4 linked regions of the Arabidopsis thaliana genome follow. The protein of the gene in region 2 interacts with the protein of the main gene of each other region in a pairwise test. Each region holds a gene or a part of one and is shown on either strand. Other genes may lie near its edges.

Region 1 (6,532 bases), about 28 Mb from region 2:
GTTTCAGAAACTGAAGAAGGATCTACAAGCGGTGTTCAGTGTGCTTCCAAAGGACATGCAGCAACTTCTGCTTTTAAATCCACAAAGAGCATCTCTTCTTCAAGATCCATCAGAGCTCCAATGAATGCTCTTCTTCACTACGGCGTCCATGAGGATTCTGATTTCTTTTCTTCCCTTTTCTGTTTCATTCTTTGAACTGTACCAAAGAAAAAAGAGAAAAATTCTTCATCTTCCCTAATTGTTTACTCGTTTTTTCTTTTGAAACATGAGAATCACACAACACCGAAATCACTGATCACTGCTGTATTTTTAACTCTATAACCAGATAAATTTATCCTTCTTGGATCCATTAAACATGTAACTGTAACTATGATTTATATTATTACGACAAATGAATAAACTGTATGACCTACAGAAGTTCTATGTCAAAGTATGCAAAGATTCGCCAACTATATGATTAATTGGTCTCTTCAGATCTTCCAATGGAAAGGAGGAATTTTCTGGATTCATAGCATCTTTCATGACATCATATCATTTTCATGGAAACCAAACCACTAGAAACATTATTATATACCATACGGCTGAAAAAAGCATCTCTCACAACAAGATCATTTCATCAAGGGATCAATCTTTACGGTATATGTACACTATTATAGCCAAGCCATAGGATACTGGCATAGAACACACACATGAAGCTTACACACAACATCACAATACAAAGACACCAAACTCTACGAGGCATTGAACATTGGCCATAGATCGGTTTCAGCTACTACACTACTGTACCCTCCTTTTTCTTCTTCTTCAACTTCATACCTTTCTGACTGGTCTGCCTCTGTTGAACTGGTGTCTGTTTCACAAGCAGAAGCCGCGACATCACATATCTCAAAAGCTCTTCACGGTGAGAGAATGTGAAATCAAGGTGAGCATACTCAAACTCATTAAACGATACATCGACCTCGGCATCTCTCATCACATTGTAGTGTTTCTTCACCATAGAGGAACGGATCACCTTGTCGTTCCTTCCCGCTACTAAATCCACAGGCACATCGATGAACTTGTAAGACTCCCCTAGATCAAGCGGTTCAGGAGAGCCATAAACCTCCATGTTAGCTGATCTGCTTCCATAATCATACATCCTGAATTTACCGGTGTGTTTGATCTGAGCAAGATGTTGCGCCACACGGAAGGAGACAGCTGGCATGTCGTTCATGTTGTAGTGAGGCAATCCTAAGACTCCGACCCAATTCGAGCTGTCTCCACCAACTACATAACTCATTAGAGTTTGGACCAATCCACCAAGAGCAGGATAGTTGTGAAAGTCACGGGCTAACTTGTTCAGAAGCATTCTGAAGAATCTTGTCGGTATGTAGAAGGCAGGCACGATGCGAGCCAAAACTGGACTAATGAAAAGGAATATGTACTCAACTATTGTGAAACCTAAGTTCGAGTCCTCATGAAACCCAGCAGGTGAAAGTAGGATTAGTCGTGAGAGTCTGTGTGGCTTCTCCTTGATTTTTCGAGTAATAACATACATCAGAATTGCAGCACCGCCTAGACTGTGACAGATGGCACAGAGCTTATAAGGCTCCTCCTGGTTGATTTCTTCATCGATATTGGGCTGGCAGAGCTTGAGTTCTGTAGTTTTTATTTCATGAATTTTTTCTATCATCGCTGGGATATCTTCAGTACCGTGCTCGTTAATGGAGTATCGCCAGAACCTGCATTTTGGTCAATAACAATGAACATTTGTACAACTTGCAAATATATACATATGATGAAACTCCACTATCATAAAGAAACCAGACAGTGCATGTAGATTAAGTAAGAAGTGAACTTTAAAGCAATAACTCACTCTTTTGAGGATATGTTCTTGTTCACATGATCTCTTGAAACTAAACCCCGAAAGTTACCCAGAAAAACATCATAGCCTGTAAAGGAAAAGAGTGTAAGAAGCTGATAAATCGTTGCCGTATGTGAATTAATAAAAGATTGGAAAATGAAAAACTTGAGGCTTGAACCTTGGTCATACGCAGCAAAAGCCGGAGATCCAACAACCCCATTAGATACCCATCTGAAGAAAAACACGCAGTAGAGAAAAAGAGTAATCAATAATGTTTCATAGGACATATATTAGATCAAAACATCAGAGGATTATAGGATGTTCCAAGTCAAAACTAAATCTTTAAGAAGGATCGGAGAGAAGGAAAGGGAAAAAAGAAGATGAGATAACTAAAGTAACTGAAAGCAGTATCCCTCCTAATCGCACCAAAAGATTTTCCCAAATCCATTTTTGTGTCTTGAGCAAATCAAACACACACGCAAAGTTGAAGGGAACAAATTATGAAAATAATTTTTTTTTGGGTAAAGAGTCAGGAACATTGAAACGCCTAGGAATGTTATGCTACATGGATATAGAAAATAATACTTCCTCAACTTTTCAGCTTACTAAGTTTCCAAAGTTTACGAGTCATCTAAGAACTAGACCATGAAACTTACCCCATTGAAGAATCCAAAACCCCATGCTGCAAAAAAACAGCTTTCCTTGCATCACGTCTGCAAAGACAAGAGTAGTCAACGATCACATTAAGAGACAATGTAACAGGAATGGAAAGCATGCACAAGCGAGCTTAATATCTAACAAGAAAGTTATACCTTGGTATCCTTTCCAAGACAAGAACATATCCGTCAGATGTAATAACACGAATAGCTTCGTAAGGATACCTACCAAGAGTAGGAGAGAAATCAAGTAAATATCAACTACTTGAGAAAGAGAAAAAAAAAATGGAAGCATGAGACATCGAATCTGCCCCTTTACCCCAACTCTGTTATGACATCTTGACACGTTCGAGTATCAGTGTTCATAGAGTTGTATAAACGTGTGGGACTTTCAACGGGCCTTTCCGTGGGGGATGGATCTGTATCTCCTAAAGTAGCAGTCTGCACAGTTTCATCATAAGCAACCTCACCATGGTTTTCTTTAGGGCTGCGACTGGAAGATGAGAACCATGATAACAATATTGCAAAAGCTTCTGATGGAGAAAGAAGAAGATGCGTAGCCTTGTGAAAAAAATCAAATATTGCTTCTATGCCGATCTCGATAGCAAGATGAAGATCCTGAAAAATAAAGCACATTAAGTAGGACGAGTTTGTCAAAAGGTTTAAAATCACAAAAATGATTGTAACATTGAATATTTGTTCGTGCATCCACAAACCTCAATAACCCCACGTCTTCTATCAGTAGTTCGGTTGGGAACATCATGGTCTTTGCTTGAGTTGGTCTTGCTAATACGAGGTCTAGATGAATGTTGGTGCCTTCTCGGGCTCGCAGGAATTCTTGAACTTCGTTTATAGAATAAACTTATAATATATTGTGGTATCCATAGCAAGATCCGTACAGGAAACATTAACCACCAAAGAATGAACGTAATCCACTCTGTCCAGTGGTTTTCAGAACTTGCAGAAGTGCTAGCCCAAGAGAGGCGTGAGCTTTGAGATGATGGTGATGGAGGCAAAGGACCATCACTATCTTCTCCAGAAGAATACTCCAAGCTTGAAGTATCAGAATCAACAGAAAGCTCATGAATGAACTCATTGAAAGAAGAGACCCCACTGCCATCAAAAACAGAGTAAAATTAGCATATTTTGAAGGCTTGCAAATAAACTAACAACAGAAGAATCATGAGAAATTATTACTTATGCATCCACCGTGGTAAACGTGGTCCACGAAACGTAGGCCTGAGTTCCCAGCCATGTAAGCCTTCAAGAATATTAGCCTTCCCTGGGAGAAGGGTCAACAGAAGAGCTGATACTCCATTTATGCACCTCGCAATGTTATTCAAAGACTCATATGTAACAGTTTTTACTGATCTGCACTAAAAGCCAAAACATAATCAAAAAGCTTATTTAGTTTAAGCTTGTTAGACAACATAAGGGAAAAGAAGAACATCTAACAAAAAGACGAACCAAAAAAAAAGAAATAGTCATTTCACCGACTCAAAGTTCATAGCCAACATCAACTCTAAAAGACGAAGCTTTGAATGAAGATACTAGAATAAAATGGTCTAACAAAACTCAAAAACACAATCTACCAATACTAATTAACAAAGAGACTTACTATAATCACCAAACGATCAAAAACTTAAAAATCTCTACTTGTCATTTATGAAACATTAGAACAACTATAGGCGCATACACAGATGAATCCACTGATGATCGATAAGAAAAAAGACTCACTCTTTGGTTACAGCGAGAGCGTTGTCCACGATCCGTTGCATTGCTTTTTTCTCAAAAATCAGATTTTTTTGTTTTTTTGGAAATATCAGAAAATTTGAAACCAAAAAACAATCTGATTCGTCGCCGTAATCCGAAAATTATCGAGGAAAACGACAAAGAGAAAATTTCTTATCCACCTGAGAAAACACAAAATTTAGCCAGAATAGAAATCTCTCGATGCTAGGAGATATTGGACCAAATCGCGATCGAGATTTAATCCGAACTCAAAATAAGGAAAACACAGAGACCCACAGGAGCCGCGATTCGAGAATCAAAAATCTAAAAAGAAAAAACAAAATTGGAGAGAATCTGACGAAAATAAAATAAAAATGGGAGAATCCGATTAAATAGGGGCACGTCGGCGATTCTTGCCGTCCAGAGACCAGAAAATGGTGACACGTGGACATGTGTTATTGGATAATGACGAATGTGACAAAAACTACGACACGTAAATTCGACTTTTGGATAACGGAGAAGGTGGATTTACCAAACAGGCAAACACACAAGTACATTTGTGGTTGTTTTCACTTAGAAAAATAGTACATTTGTTGTATGTTAACGTTGAAACATTATATTATACGAAGCTATTTCTAAAGCTTCATAATAATAATAAAAAAGTGTTTAATATTTGCCTAAATAAATGAAAAGATACTAATTACTTAATCCCTAAACCCTCTGACTGTCTCCAAAGGTTCTCGTTATCTTGATCTCAAGCAGCTTTTAAGGGCATTTCCTCTGGATGTAAGAAGCTCCATGCTCTGCATACCTGTCATGTACACAAAAAGACTCAAACCCTAGCGATGAGAAGACACTGTTTATACGTGAGTCGAGATCTAGAGAGCAATCCAATGTGTTACTTACTCAGACTTGGAGAACCACATTTGCTGGAATGAGCCTAACGATGCCAGTATACTACCTTACTTCTACCAAGTCTTTCTCGAGGCGTTCTTTCAATTACTGCATTGATGATGTTCCACCAGAATAATCTGTTCCTAATCCAAGATGAACTCAGCATCGATAAAAGGTAGAGAAACCAGACTTTTCTCTCTGCTGCTGTGAGTTCAGAGGAGGCTCTGCAAGTAGCATTGGGTGCTCCGTGGGATCAATCATTAGACAATTCCTTGAATAATAAACATTTACACAGATGAAATCATCAATCAACTATAAATGGAAAAGATAAAGATTAAACAGTTAAAGACAAAAACTAACAGATTCTGCAAATTACCTAAAAGCATGATCCCATACATTGTCCACCATATCCCAATCAGTTACAATGCCATCCTTTGTAGGTGACAATATCTGGAACAGACAAATGTCAACTAATAGAGAGACCTGAAAATTTATCTTCATCCCTAACCATTTTGAAGTTTAATAAAGAAAACTGACCTCCATTTGATCGCGGCGAAAGTTCAAAGCTTGAGATCCTGTGTAAAGCTTCCTTTTGCCTTTTTCTTTATCAGACTCCTTTGCATCCTCCGTGGTGTTTGCAGCATCATCAATATCCATTCCATTTCCATCTATCGCTCCAACAACCTTATAAGTTATATAACACATCAACAACAGCAACAACAAAAAACCTAAATTTCTCGAATTGCTTGCTCTACACTAAAAGGACCTAACTTTAACCAATTGAAAAGAGAGGAAGTAAAGAATGAGACTTACGGAAGGGAAAACAGCTTTAGGGGCATCTTCTCCGGCGTAACCAGCTTTGCAAGTGTGAGAACCTAAGTCTACTACGATAGCTGACACTTCGTCTGTTCAATATATAAGAAACCCCACCAAGGAAAAGTTTACACCTTTACGAGACGAGCTCAAGCGAAAAGGGAAAGAAGTAATGCTGAATTTGTACAATCAGAGAGAGATTTTAGAGAGGACGAAAATAAAACCTACCTCCACCGTACATGGCTGCCGAGAATGGGAGAGGTGAAGAGAGGTTTTCTCTACCGGAGCTTCGTCGGAAGGTTTAAGAACGGAACCGGAAAGTAAACTATTTAAGTGATTTCACTTTGTCTCGGATTGGGAAGTTGAATATAAAGAAGAGAAGGACTAAAACAAACAAACCTGAAATATGAGGGACTAAAACTAAAGAAACTGAAAACAAAGGGACTAAAATAAAAACAAATATGAAAAAATTAAAAATACGCCGTTGCCGGGGATCGAACCCGGGTCACCCGCGTGACAGGCGGGAATACTTACCACTATACTACAACGACTTTGTTGCTCAAGTTTTCTAAATTTGGTATTTCAATTGGTTAAC
Region 2 (4,297 bases):
TAATGTTTTTTGCATTTTTGGTTGTTATATGTTGGCAGCATGCAGCAGCCAACGAGTTATGTGTAGATGCTGGTTCAACCAACTCGACCTATATGGGTTATAGTTATACGAGTTGTTGACCGAATTTATGGTTCAAGACTTTCAAGAACCAAGAGAAATTGTAATGGAATTGTTTGTATATATTCTTTTATTCTTTAAATTGACTTTTTTTCATCACAGATTCTCTAATTGACTCTCTTCGTTACTTTTACAAAGGTACCAGAAGAAAAAAAACATTTTATAATATGAGGTCGAAATATAACATTTTATAATGGTGAAACCTTCAGAAGATGAAAAATTCAAAATAAAAACCTATGGAACAGTAGTGGATAACGTTTGGTCCAAAAAAAAATCAAATTGTTGAATGAATGAATAAATCTACACCACAAATTCGCAGAAAAATAAAAATAAAAAGGTGTATATCATAAATTAATTGGAGCCAGCGTAGACTATATAGTATTTGTTAGTATGCAAGGTTTGCTTTATCATTTATGGGTGTGTCATTCATTCATGTGTGTGAACGCAGACATAGTGGATTAGAATTTTGTTTGACTTGAGTTAAATTTTCAAATTCTGGTTTACCAAAAGTATGAATAATCAACTAACGTATACCAAACACACATCCATAAATTAATTAAATTATATGATTTTCAATCGACAACTTACATCAACAATTAAAAAATAAAATCAAGAAGAACACAATTACATATATGATTATCCGGTTCAACCAATCATTGCACAACTTTAACCGGATATTGATCAATCGAACCAGCCCAAGCATTACCGGTCATCTCCTCCGTCGAAACCGGTCGTAACGCTTTCCAAACCGCACTATTACACTTGAAACCCGATCCAAACGCAATCTGCCAAAGTCGGTCACCAGCTTTAACCCGACCCTTAGCTTCGGTATAAGCCATCTCATACCAAAGCGAGCTACTCGAAGTGTTACCAAATCTGTGCAAAGTCATTCTAGAAGGTTCCATGTGCCAATCTTTGAGATCAAGATTCTTCTGCACTTCGTCTAGAACCGCTCTACCTCCTGCGTGAATACAGAAATGCTCGAAAGCTAGCTTGAAATCCGGAATATACGGTTTAACTTTTAACTTGAACATCTTCCTTTTGACCAAGGAAATCAAGAACATCAACTGCTCTGACAATGGAAGAACCATCGGTCCTAAAGTCGTGATGTTTGTTTTCAGAGCGTCTCCGGCGACAGACATGAGCTCTCTAGCTAAAGAGACACCGATTGTTCCTCTCTCGTCTTCCTTCTGGTACACGCAATTGTAGTTCTTGTCGTCTGATCCTTTATGTGTTCGAACGACGTTGACCAGCGAGTACTTTGACTTCTTCCGGTCTTGACGGCGGTTAGAGAGGAGAATCGCAGCTCCGCCCATTCGGAAGATGCAGTTGCAGAGGAGCATTGACCGGTCATTTCCGAAGTACCAGTTTAGGGTTATGTTTTCCGTGCTTACCACGACAGCGTAAGAATTAGGGTTTGCTTTGAGGAGATTGTTAGCGAGATCGATTGAGATTAATCCGGCGGAGCAACCCATTCCTCCGAGGTTGTAACTTTTGATGTCTTCTCTCATCTTGTAATGGTTCACGATCATCGCTGATAGAGACGGCGTCGGATTGAATAAGCTGCAGTTTACTATCAAGATTCCGACTTCGGCCGGTTTAATTCCGGTTTTCTCGAAGAGGGAATCTAAGGCTCCAAACATAACGGCTTCAGCTTCGGCACGTGCCTCTGACATATTTAGCTTCGGGGGCGTTGAAGTTATGCCACGTGGCAGATACGTCTCGTCTCCCAAACCGGCCCGGTTCGAGATTCTTTGCTGGAACTGAACCGTGTCATCGGTGAATGATCCATTTTCCTCAGTCATCGTCAAGAACGAATCTACTGATATTTTACGCTCGTCTTCCGGTTTGTAGCAGGAGAAATCCACTAGGTAAACCGGTTTAGACCGGTTAGCCACGTAGAGGGTCAAAACGAAGGAGAGGAAAACCAAGCAGGTAAGTCTCGTCGCCGTGTCGAGTTGAACCGCCTGGTTAGACCAAAGCTCAGAGAACGTATCGAACGTTAGACCGGTTAGCTGAACCAGCACGGTTCCGGTTAAAGGAAGAATAATTAAGAAGAAGAGAATGGTGGTCACGTTGCAAGAGTTGTGAAGTCCAAGCTTCACGTATTTGAGCTTAACGGACGTTAATAAATCCGGCAAACGTCTTCGAATTCTTATAACGGCCGATGATGAATCTCGAAACGCCATCTCCGCCGTTAATCTCTCTCGATCCATCTCAATGCTGTTTGTTCTCTCCATCAGTATAGTTTTGGGTCGAAATATTTCAAACGTAAATCAAGGAAGGATTGAAGATAAAATGTAAAATCTTTAGGCAAATTTGGAGAAATAGAAAGAGAGAGAAAATGAGAATGGGAATTCTAAAATTGGTGAATTAGGAGGATTTTGGTGAAATGAGGGCAAGTAGGGATGGAGAGATATATAGAGTGCAAGAAAGATAAAAATATTTTAAAGATTAATAATAGTAATGACTTAACAAAAAAAAAAAAAAGATGGAATAATATTCGAATTTAATGATGGGTGGTTCCGAGATAATACTATTAGCTCAACTACTTATATGGGACCTTGATATTAAATTAAGTAGTCAGATTATTTTTCATGTTTTGTTCACACGAAATGCAAGTTACAAAAGTCTAACAAAACCTAGCTGAATCTCATAAGTCATATGGTAGATCATAAATTTGGTTTATCTTTTTTTTCACACATATATTTGGGCATCATAACATTCTATTTTGGTGTAACCTAATTTTTTTTTTTTTTGAAGTTTTTGATAAACAACATAACTTGTTAATTATACCACTACAACACAACAAAATATGACATGTTTGTTATATATTTCCTTATAATTAAACTTAAACGTTTTAGACATCCATGATGTTTTTATTAGCAAGTGTATGTAGGTTATCCAAAATTGAGTGAGGGCAAGTTATAAAATTATATATCAATTGAATATTATAAGCAGGTTGGCTGCACGTAGTGCAAATGCACTGGGTCAGCGACGGGTAAGTTGATATAATATGTTGTAAATAGTAAATTTAAAGGGAGAACGTGTTCGAGAAACGTACCTCTCATTCATGAGAAGCGTTCACTGTCCAAATTGCAAGAACAAGGGTAGACGAAAGCGTGTCCCAAATATTCAAATTTGTTATTTCTTTGTATAAATGTGTATCCCACATGCATACAAACTCCTTAATATGGGCCATGGTAAATTGATGATAATGAATTACTATGACTTCTTAATAGCAGCACATTTCGATTTGTTTCTCCATTATATACCATCCCTATTAGCTGTTCCAGTATTGTAGTCATTGTCATTTATAAATTTGCTGTCTTCGTTAAGACGTTTGTTATATAAGGGACCCTTTACATAATGAATTTATTTCATATTATAAATCTGATAAAGAAGTAATTAGTTTTGGAGTTGCATATCTAGTTAGTTTTCGAGTATTTTTCTAGTTATTTCATATTGATTGTGCCAAGGTGTCCAAAATAGACCTCGGACGGGTAGTTGTAGCTTGTAGCTTTGTAGGTAAATAAAATGTTCGGATTTGAGGTCCCAAAGTGGACTTATTGTCCCTGTTTTGTTTTCATTGGGATAAAGTTGTTGGTAAAATGTAATGCTTTTAATAGTTAAATCATTTCTAATATCGTGATTACTGGGAAATAATAGAGAAAAAGAAAACAAAGACAAAAGGCAGCGACGTCGTTTCCATAATATCGTGATTACTGCATGAAACACATGTTTCAACAGTACGCATACCAACTCTCAAACTTCAATATTGGAAAGATCCAGTTCATCAGATGCTAATAATTCATATATTTAGGTTTATGTACAGCATAATGAACAATAGAGAGAATTAATCAATAAACAGATCAAAGTATTAATTTGCAAGATAAATGAAATAATGATGATAATAAATGGTAGACTAGTACCCATGTGTAGACATAAACCAACAATTAATGTTGGTCGGCTTAATACCAACTAACTAGAAACCAGTCCGTCATCAATGTATGAATGTACACACTCACATCTTGCAATAATTTTAAAAAGGACTAACAATTTAAATGGTTGCTACATAAATAAACGATATAGCCTTACATAAAACTAGCGAAAAAGGTTGATATTGGCTGTATAACATGCACAGTACTACCAGGCTCTAACATGCTTCAAAATACCGAAT
Region 3 (4,113 bases), on a different chromosome or scaffold from region 2:
TATGATGATTGTCAAGTGTACGAAACAATAAACATCCTTAGACTTGGAAGGAAAGGTGTTCTCATAATTTGGACGGTGGACCTAACTTGCTTCCGTGTGGAATAAGTTATACATATCTTCCTCTTCTTCTCTTTGGTTTTTGGTAAATTATTTCAATTATTTCTAAAGTTTGGTAAGTTAATTTTTTTTTTGTTACGTTTAATTTCCTTTTTATATATATTGATGCGATATGTTTACTAATAGATATTTTAAACATGTACCTGCGCTGGTTCGAACTCAAAAACCCTAAGAAAAAAACTAGCCGATGCTATTTAGTTGTATAGAAAAGCTATTTTCTTGGACGCTAATAATCTTTCGATTAGATACGATAAAATGTTCATATCATAATTCACATTACTAATAAGTTTATCAGATTCTCGCTTTGTTAGCACCAGACTTTTGGTATCGATTCAAGTCGGCTACTCATGTCCTAAAGAGAAATCATAACTAAATCTTACACCAAAAGCTAAGATTATGGTTGTTTGATAGTTCCCTTTTTGGGATCATATATGTTTGATCAGTTCGGTATTAGTAAACTATCTTATTAACCGGACCAAGTCTTGTTCAATTCAATACAATTCTTCGGTTTGTATTATAAAACAAACCGGTCTCATAACCTTAAAATGAAGCCCCCAAAAATAGTCCAATACAACAAAACCAAAGCCAAAGCCTTCTTCCAAAAAGACAGTTTACAAAAACAAAAACAATAATCTCAACCTGAGCAACAACCAGAAGATTTAACAGCAGTAACATCATCCTTATTTCCGATATCAATGGTTTGTCCTTTAGGTAAAGACATCGGATCTCCAGTACCATCAAGAGCTTTACGGCTCATTACACGATAGATTTGAGTCAAGACATGAGTGAAAGCTTGTTCGACATTTGTAGCATCCAAAGCAGAAGTCTCCATGAAAAACATGTTTTCTCTTTCAGAGAATGATCTAGCTTCTTCTGTGGGAACTGCACGAAGGTGACGAAGATCGGCTTTGTTTCCAACAAGCATGATTACAACGTTGGCATCGGTATGGTCACGAAGCTCCTTGAGCCATCTTTCAACGTTTTCGAACGTTATGTGTCGAGTTATGTCGTATACTAGAAGTGCCCCCACTGCTCCTCTGTAGTATGCACTCGTGATTGCTCTGTATCTGTATAACAAATAAGTCGCTATTACTCAAAAACAGAGCATATAGAGAAGAAAGAGAGCATAGGAGTGGGAGATCGGTTTACGGTTGGTTAGTTTCGGCTATTGATTATATCGGTTAATAGAAATTAAAACCAAATAAAATAATTTGTAATCTGGTTTATTTTCCAATTTGTTCTTGATTTGAATTAAGTTATATTTGGTTCCTTTTAGCAAAAAAAACTTTTTACCAAGAAAGTTATATTTGGTTAATCTATAGAAATTGATTATTAAAATAAAATCATTATCTAGTCAAATATTATATCAGTGCAATATACTTATTCCAATTTTCCATACATATACATAATTAAAAGTATATTATATTTATAAAAAAAATCGAAATTGATAATTGAAATAAATCATGATCTAGTTAATATTATATTAATGTAACATAACTATTTCAATTTAATTTCCATAGAGATACATAATCAAAAGTAGAGGATTTCTAAAAAAATGCGGTTTATTTGGTTACACTAAATCAGTTTATATTGGTTTCAAAATAGTAAAACAAACAAATTTGTAAAATTATCCAGTTTGATTTTTGTTCAACCATTTCGGTTTGGTTTGGTTCAAAGAATGAAACAAAACAGAACATATAGAGATAAAACAGTGAAATTTCGAGGATTTATTACCTTTCTTGACCAGCGGTGTCCCAAAGCTGAGCTTTGATGATTTTTTCGTCGACATGAACACTTCTTGTGGCGAACTCGACACCGATGGTTGACTTTGACTCGATGCTGAATTCGTTTCTGGTGAAGCGAGACAAAAGATTGGATTTTCCGACGCCGGAATCTCCAATCAAGACTAGTTTGAAGAGATAATCGTAGTCGTCGTCGGCTCTGTAGGCTCCCATTATTAAGGTATTTGATAGAAGTTACAAAATCGTAAAGAAGAATTCAGAGAGATGTTGCAATATGATCTAATGAAATGAATGATGTGTTGTTGTGTTTTGTAATGAAATGAAATTATGGGTAGTGGGTAACGACGAAAGGGCTTATTGGTTTTGGTAGTGTTATAAAAATAAGAATAATATTAGGATTCAATCATTTGTTATTATTATATGCATGACTTAGCATATGTATATGTTTTGAAAGTCGTTGGAAAGATTAGAGAACAAACATGTTTGACGAAATCTTCGGGTTTATGGCCGCCATGAACTTGGTAAACGCAGAACAATATACACTTGCAGGAAAAAACAATATTATTATGTCTTCAATTCAATAATTCAATTTATAGCTTTTCTCAAATAAAATCACAGGGAAATTTGTTCATAAATAAAATTATAGCAATGTGTAGGAAGATATCTAGGTAAAAGATTTTTTATGGTATATTGTCATGAAATTTTCCATTTCTATTTTTAACTTCTAAGGATTTTTTTTATATGACACTAAATATAGTGTAGAGTTGAGATTATTGTTGGACACATGTACTAGACTTTTAGTAATAGATCAAGTCTAAAGGAAACTAGTAAGTTTGTTTTTGAGATAGATCTTATATTATTTATTTTAGACCTAAAAGGCTAAAACATTTGTGTTCATGTAAATGTTAGCAATAAATAGAAGAATTACTTAAAGCTCTTAATTGACAAACAACATTTTAACATTATTATTTCTCAGTTTTGTTTCTGTGGACAATTTATTTGACTACTATATGCATATATATTTGCTAGATTTTGATACCTACATAACACTTGGTTATAAAGAAAAACAAAAACCACTCAAATTGAATTTCAACTTGAGAACTCTTTATTATTTGACACCAATGTGTATATGACCTATTTTATTACAATAATTTGTATTGGTTCGAGAATCATTGACCACAGCTTATAGCTCAAGACTTAGATAAAACACAGACACTCAAAGAGGAAACATAACACAACAATGGTACAAGATTTTTCTTAACATTTTAAACGACGACTTGCAAGTCACCGACCTATAAATTGTCTCTGTTTTCCACCAATTTCGAAAAGAATACCATAATAAAAGAGGACAATCTATCACCACTTTGATCATCATCAATGTCCCAAGTGCAGAGCTTCATCCACGGCCAGTGCCAATGCAGCAGCAGCACCAACATATGTGTGTGGAGTTAGCTCCAGAAGTTGGTCTTTTGCTTCTGAAGGCAATTCCAAACCTTTGATAAACGTTCTTATGGTTTCTTCATTCACAGCTTTTCCTCTTGTTAGCTCCTTCAGCTTCTCATACGGCTCAGGGACACCGTATCTCCTCATCACCTTTATTTGATACCATAATACTTCTGTGGATTAGAGATACATCAAATATCTTGATTGATATAGAAGATTAGAAACTCGAGAAATTTACAGTTTGTATTGGTTCAGCAAGGACTTCCCAATTATCATCCAAATCTTCTTTTAACCGAGCTTCATTAACCTATATCAAGAACATTCTTAGTTTGTGACAAGTGGAAACATTTCTTAGGGCTACGGTAATAATACCTGAAGCTTCCCGATTCCCTGTATCGCACTCTTGTAAGCGAGAAGAGAGTGTCCTAAAGCTCCACCCATGTTTCTCAAGACAGTTGAATCAGTTAAATCACGCTGCAGATTGTACATTTTTCAGGCTTAGTTTACTTCCATCACTCTAGCTGAGATACATAGAATATGGAGAAATGTTAAAACCTGCATGCGTGAAATGGGAAGCTTCATGCTGAGAAAAGTAAGCTCTGCGTTTGCTTTCCCTAGATTCCCTTCGCTGTTCTCAAAGTCAATAGGATTCACTTTGTGAGGCATTGTCGACGATCCAATTTCACCCGCTTTAGTTGTCTGCAAAATCTCAAACAATGAGACGATTTTCCCATTCAGATTCAAATGATTTGACATCTTTTTTTTTCCTTTCTTATATTAACACTTGCCTGCTTAAAGTACCCTAGAGATA
Region 4 (5,473 bases), about 22 Mb from region 2:
TTAATGTTTAGTTAGAATAATTAGAAGATGACACATATATATATATATAAAACAACAATATATACATTTCGTTAAGATTTTTAATGTTTTATATTAGTACTATATAAGTAATATTGAGATCCAAGTAATATATAATAATTTGTTGAGAAAATTAATAAAATGTAAAAAGCTTAAGAAAAATTACTAGCTTGTGGATTCTTTAGAGGATGTGAAAAGATTAGAATGAACTAGGCTTCTCGGCCATGAAGGTAATTCATAAAGCAACAACAGATCACGAGGAATCAAATTGCAATCAACAATGTCCACAATCTTCAACTTGGTCAATACCGTCAACTCATTACCATCAAAGTTATTAGAGCACACATAAAGCCTAATATATTATCATTTGAGCAGCCCATCTAAACCCGCTAATGATTTTGCTATAAAACCTAATAACATAGGCTGAATAGGCTTCTCAAATGATAATATTTTGGGGTTTTATGTGTTCTCTAATATAAATCTGGATCTCACCTTCTAATGATTTTCTTAAATGCACATGGGATCCAACTTCAGTGGTTTGGGATGGATTCAAGAATTGGAGAAAGGTCCATATCGAGAAACAATTATGTCCTACAAACACAAGCATAACCTCTTTGTTGGGCCATCTTGTGTGTTGGAAATCTGAATTACCTAACACAAACGCCGTCAACGGGCTTGCACTAAATCCGACATGGCCCATGTTTCAACATATCCATGGTGGCACCCGTCACTTTAACAATTGAGGATACAATCGCTCACCATGCTTGTGATTAATTTGAGACCTTTCACAACTGTTGTAAGTTCGAATGTTTCCTTTTAGCTACAGCATACTGTAGTGGCTAAACGTTTAGGTAGATACAACGAAGGCTAAAGAGAGAAACAAATGTTTGGTGACTGATTTCTAGCGCGCGATAACTAGCCCCAACGACAATGCGGCTCCAAGCAAGGCGTGGAGTCTCACACAGTAATACTTGGCCATGAATATCTTCCCATTATCCTGCATTAAAAGAATAGATTAGCAAAACTTTGAGTATTACAAATTTCAATTCTAAATATCTTACCTTGTGGTGCTTTTCAACGTAGCTTGAAACCAAATTCCCAACTGGTAATGTCAGGAAGCACATCAACTGAAACACCAACAACAAAAAGGAGGTTTTAATATATGTTCTTATATTTCAGTCATGTTCTCAAATCTGTTAACTTACGGTGCAAGGTAGTGGCAAAATCCTGGTTAAACCAAGAACAAGAAGCATTGAATATAGTAAACGAATAGTCCATCTCACAACAAAAGCTCCTTTTTCAGTCCCTAACCGAACCTGTGTCAACCAAAAAAAAACTCTAATCATAAACACAATCACCATATTCATATTAAACCTTGTTGAGTTTTTTTCACATTTGTACCAGAGGTGAATATTTCCCCACAGCTAAATCTCCATCCACCTATAGAATGTAAATGTAGTCAGTACTGTGTTTGTCATTTCAGGACTCATTAGACCACTTTTTCATTAACCAACCTGATGAAAGTGGCTGCAGAAAAGGATAAGAGATGTAGTAAAACCAACAAGGACAGATGATGAAAGGACCCTACCGCTTAGCGGAAGATGCCTCATCTCGCTGCCAAAACCGATTAACAAGCTTCCATTATTAACACCTCATGGAAACACGAATGGATTAGGCTTAAAACAAAATTTTGATATTACCTTGAGCTACCAAGAAGTAGATAAAAAGCAGTAGTAGCAAATGGACCAAATGCTGCAAAGCATAGAGGCTCTCCTAATCCTTGGTAACTTAACCGAAATGGCGGACACTAGTCACAAAGTATTACTCTAAGTTAGAAATCTCCTAGATTAGTATCAAATTGTCATCTAGGAAGTAACGTTCACCTGGTATACGTAGCCACAGAGTATTGCTGAGGCTAGCAATAGTATTGCACGGATATTACTTGCATTTAACGATGTCCAAACTAGACCAGAAACACCAAGCGCTAGCGATGTGATTGCAGCGGCTAAGGTTCCTGTCCGGCTTTTCCAAGTAAAACACAGTTTATTAGGATGGAACTCAAAAACATAAACTTCAAAGTTGCAAACTCTATCCTTTGATAATACTTTACCTTCCAACCAGATTTACTACTGATTCCATTTTGTTCTTATCAGCTCCGGTATCAAAATCATAAACATCATTGCTGCAAACATAAAACCATGTTTGGAAAGAGTAAATACATGAAAGAGTAAATACAGTCAACGAAAATGTTAAAAGGAATCAATCAATTAATCACCTTAGGTTGAGCCAAGTAATGATAAGAATTGATGAGAGCAATAGAGTAACATAACGTCTAGCTAAGAACAAACCCGTCTCTAAATAGGCCGCTGAAGCGCCAACCTGTGTGACATTTGAACAGTGAATATTCCCTAGCAGATAAAGGCAATGGAGGACATAGAAAGGTTTCTTGAGGAAACATACGGTAAGAGGAACTAAAGCGACAGAGTACATTGGTAGTTTGATTGCTCTCCATATCAATTTTGCTCTGGGAATCTCCTCTTCTTGGTAAACCTTTGCTGCATCTCCATAACTCTTACAAAAGATTGGCCTAACTCTAAGGTTTCTTCTTGGTTTAGCATTCAGATTCTCTCGTGCATTCGAACCAAACACCGGTAATCTAGTGATTACATCTCCTCTGCTGGGAAGCTAAGCTAAGTAATTTTAGTGACAGTACAAAGTAGATTATTGTCAAAGAACAAAGCTTTGGATGAAGTGCTAAGCCTACCTTGTGAATTTTCCGTTTCACAAACAAATCAGTTGAATTTTTGGGCACAAACCCATACTTTATGTCACAGAGAGAAACAAAATTCACCATTTTCAGGTTTCTGCATAAAACAAAAGAAAGAATTTCAGTTAACAGAGGAAGAACACTACTTCCGAGTTAAAGTCCGAGATTCTGGAACCCTATAACTAAAATCTTTGTTCTGGCATGAATCAGAGACAATGGAAAATGAGTAAGATGAAGTAAAAAAAGTATGAAGTTTGGAACTTTACCTTTTTTAACACGAATCTTTCGAAGAGAGTTAGCGACGGAAGTGGAGTCAGATCAAAACCACGACGTGATCATAACAAAATTCACTTGAGGAAAAATATTTCAACTTGGCTCGTCTACAACGAGATTTTCATGAACCCACGAATCTGGAATCTTAATTTGGAGAAGATAACGCACACAGAAGTACAGAACAAACTCATTGAACCTTATACAAAAACTGAGAGAAAAGTGCCCGAATTATGCCAATAAACAGGCAAAATTGAGTGACCAGAATCAGAATCAGAGGATTTGTGAAGGAATCTATGCAATGCAAATGTTGGGATTTCGTTATTCAGACAAGAATTTGAATGTTGGGTTTTGCGGAAGAGACGTGAATGATGAAGTGGATAACAGAAGCTCCCTCGTTGGAAGATAAAATCACGTGAGGTTCACGTGTCTTTGACCAATTTTAAATACAAGTAGAAAGGTGGGCCTTTAAGGCCCATTACTTTCGAGCCTTTGAGGGTTTGGTTGGTACAAACTACTACAAGTAAACTAGATTTGCATGATTTACAAATTAAACAATGTTGACATAATTTATAATTAAACCAAATTAATATTAATGCCAAAAATTAATATTCAGATGGGGAAATTAACTGCGTCTTTTTTATTTTTGCAAACGTAATATGATGTATATTAATATCAACTTTATTAGTATTTTTCTAACGGAAATATTGATCAAAATCCTTTACATTAAAAAAATATTGTTTTAGTACATAAATAACCTTACTTGGGAAACAAGTTTTGCAGCAAAAATATTAAGAAGAAAAAAATCAGCCAAAACAAGTTTAATAATTTCTTCTAACAATGTAATCCACAGCTTGACATATCGCACACGACACGGAACTCAATTATTATCTCGTGTTCAAAGAACGGCTGCTTAATAACTACGAAATAGCAGAATCATGCTATATAGGTTTAATGGCAAAAGCAAAGAAAGACTCGACCAAGTTTTCATTCATCACCACCATCACATACAAATATGTTCATCCACCATTTACTTTTCAAGAGTATGAAGACAACTCAGAAGAAGAAGACCTGAACGCTAGAAGTTTTCAAAGACTGGCAAACAGGACAAACACCAGTAAACACATCACAATCTTTACACAAACTCAAGTGCCTACATGGCACGAGCAAGACCGAAACATTCTTTACGTTACACAACTTACATCTCATCCCAGTACTTGGCATCCCCGGGATGTTCAAGTAATTGTAAGAAGCTGCTTCGTCATCAATCTCACTATCCCCAAACCCTTCTTTCATTTGATGATGATCAGCAACTCCTCCTCCTACTGCATTGTTGTCGTTTCCATGTGACATCACTTGTTGCAAATTTACCTTTAAGGCATTAACCACAGATTCATTGTATTTTGCTTTGTAATGCCAGTTCTGAGCTTCCACTGCCACTTGTTTTATCTTATCCACGAGTTCCCGGTTCTTCTTGTTCATGCTTTCAATCTCATGGTCTTTCTCTTGAAGCTTCTTACTCACATCCTTCTCTAAGGCCGTGACAAAGGACGTGACATGTCTCTGTTTAATATCTCTCACACCTTTCGCCATTTGATCTGCCTGTTCCAAGAGAGAACAATTTCAACGACATGGGATATGTAAGCAAAAACATACGCTTTGTAGATAAAATTAATACCCGGAATTTGATAAACTGATCAAGCTCGTCGTTCTGTCTATTGAGGTCCAATCTGATATTGTCACCGAGTGACTGATAGACTGGAGTTGTTATGCTTCCATTTGCTGAAGTTACAGAAGAGTTGCGCTCATCATCATCATAAGATAGTCTCAGACCAGTTGACACTAAGTTCTGCTTTGGGACTTCATCTTGAACAACAGTATTATTGTTGTTGTAGTTATAATTCAAAGAGATCTGCAGCTTCTGCTGTCTCTGCATAATATTGTTGTTTTCAGTTTCCCTTCCGCGTGTGCTATTAAGCCGCATCATAGGAGCAAGGTTATCATTAGCAAAGTAGTTTACAGGATCAATAGTACAACCAGCTCTCACTGCAACCACATACAAAGGAACAAGCTTTTAGCTCTATAAAGTTCTAACAACATTCAAACCAAATGAATAACAAAATTCAGAAACTTACTCGTCCCAAGCAAGTGAAGCTGATTCAACGATGTGTTTGATTGATACCGAAACTGGCTGTCGTTCATTAGAACCTGCGGCACAGGGTTATCATTGTTGCCTCCCAACATCTTCTCTAGAGCTTAACCGTTTTATGTGTATATATATACCCGTAAAGAACTGAAACAGAAAAATTACAGTAAGAAACCTGTAGACATACGAAACTAATTAGTTGTAAGATATGAAAGCTCAAATATCTTCAGCTTTTGACATGACGAGCCAAGATGTAATAAGATTTAACTGTC

What was found.
Region 1: the proteins of KCS1 (region 2) and AT1G73920 interact in a two-hybrid assay, tested with the Arabidopsis thaliana proteins (one large-scale study listed by BioGRID).
Region 3: the proteins of KCS1 (region 2) and RABA1e interact in a two-hybrid assay, tested with the Arabidopsis thaliana proteins (one large-scale study listed by BioGRID).
Region 4: the proteins of KCS1 (region 2) and ABC4 interact in a two-hybrid assay, tested with the Arabidopsis thaliana proteins (one large-scale study listed by BioGRID).

What each region holds. Positions count from the first base shown.
Region 1 is NC_003070.9:27,788,939-27,795,470, reverse strand, and holds AT1G73920 (alpha/beta-Hydrolases superfamily protein), read right to left. Parts: upstream 4,735-6,532; 5' UTR 4,278-4,734; coding exon 4,237-4,277; intron 3,876-4,236; exon of another isoform or gene 3,871-3,875; coding exon 3,697-3,870; intron 3,613-3,696; coding exon 3,216-3,612; intron 3,118-3,215; coding exon 2,819-3,117; intron 2,725-2,818; coding exon 2,656-2,724; intron 2,557-2,655; coding exon 2,500-2,556; intron 2,075-2,499; coding exon 2,022-2,074; intron 1,932-2,021; coding exon 1,856-1,931; intron 1,722-1,855; coding exon 773-1,721; 3' UTR 543-772; downstream 1-542. Other genes in the region: AT1G73930 (polarity axis stabilization protein), read left to right, coding at 1-124; ARP4A (actin-related proteins 4A), read right to left, coding at 5,171-5,348, 5,501-5,574, 5,662-5,808, 5,938-6,029, 6,166-6,178.
Region 2 is NC_003070.9:56,622-60,918, forward strand, and holds KCS1 (3-ketoacyl-CoA synthase 1), read right to left. Parts: upstream 2,595-4,297; 5' UTR 2,358-2,594; coding exon 771-2,357; 3' UTR 543-770; downstream 1-542.
Region 3 is NC_003075.7:10,183,152-10,187,264, forward strand, and holds RABA1e (RAB GTPase homolog A1E), read right to left. Parts: upstream 2,233-4,113; 5' UTR 2,073-2,232; coding exon 1,852-2,072; intron 1,185-1,851; coding exon 752-1,184; 3' UTR 520-751; downstream 1-519. Other genes in the region: AT4G18440 (L-Aspartase-like family protein), read right to left, coding at 3,234-3,452, 3,541-3,609, 3,675-3,776, 3,858-4,001, 4,091-4,113. UniProt on the Arabidopsis thaliana protein: Intracellular vesicle trafficking and protein transport.
Region 4 is NC_003070.9:22,323,888-22,329,360, forward strand, and holds ABC4 (UbiA prenyltransferase family protein), read right to left. Parts: upstream 3,473-5,473; 5' UTR 3,052-3,472; intron 2,883-3,051; 5' UTR 2,873-2,882; coding exon 2,783-2,872; intron 2,704-2,782; coding exon 2,479-2,703; intron 2,398-2,478; coding exon 2,294-2,397; intron 2,201-2,293; coding exon 2,129-2,200; intron 2,041-2,128; coding exon 1,902-2,040; intron 1,826-1,901; coding exon 1,719-1,825; intron 1,633-1,718; coding exon 1,533-1,632; intron 1,459-1,532; coding exon 1,420-1,458; intron 1,335-1,419; coding exon 1,224-1,334; intron 1,146-1,223; coding exon 1,080-1,145; intron 1,016-1,079; coding exon 920-1,015; 3' UTR 550-919; downstream 1-549. Other genes in the region: AT1G60610 (SBP (S-ribonuclease binding protein) family protein), read right to left, coding at 4,112-4,657, 4,734-5,101, 5,191-5,299. UniProt on the Arabidopsis thaliana protein: Involved in the synthesis of phylloquinone (vitamin K1). Catalyzes the transfer of a prenyl chain to 2-carboxy-1,4-naphthoquinone.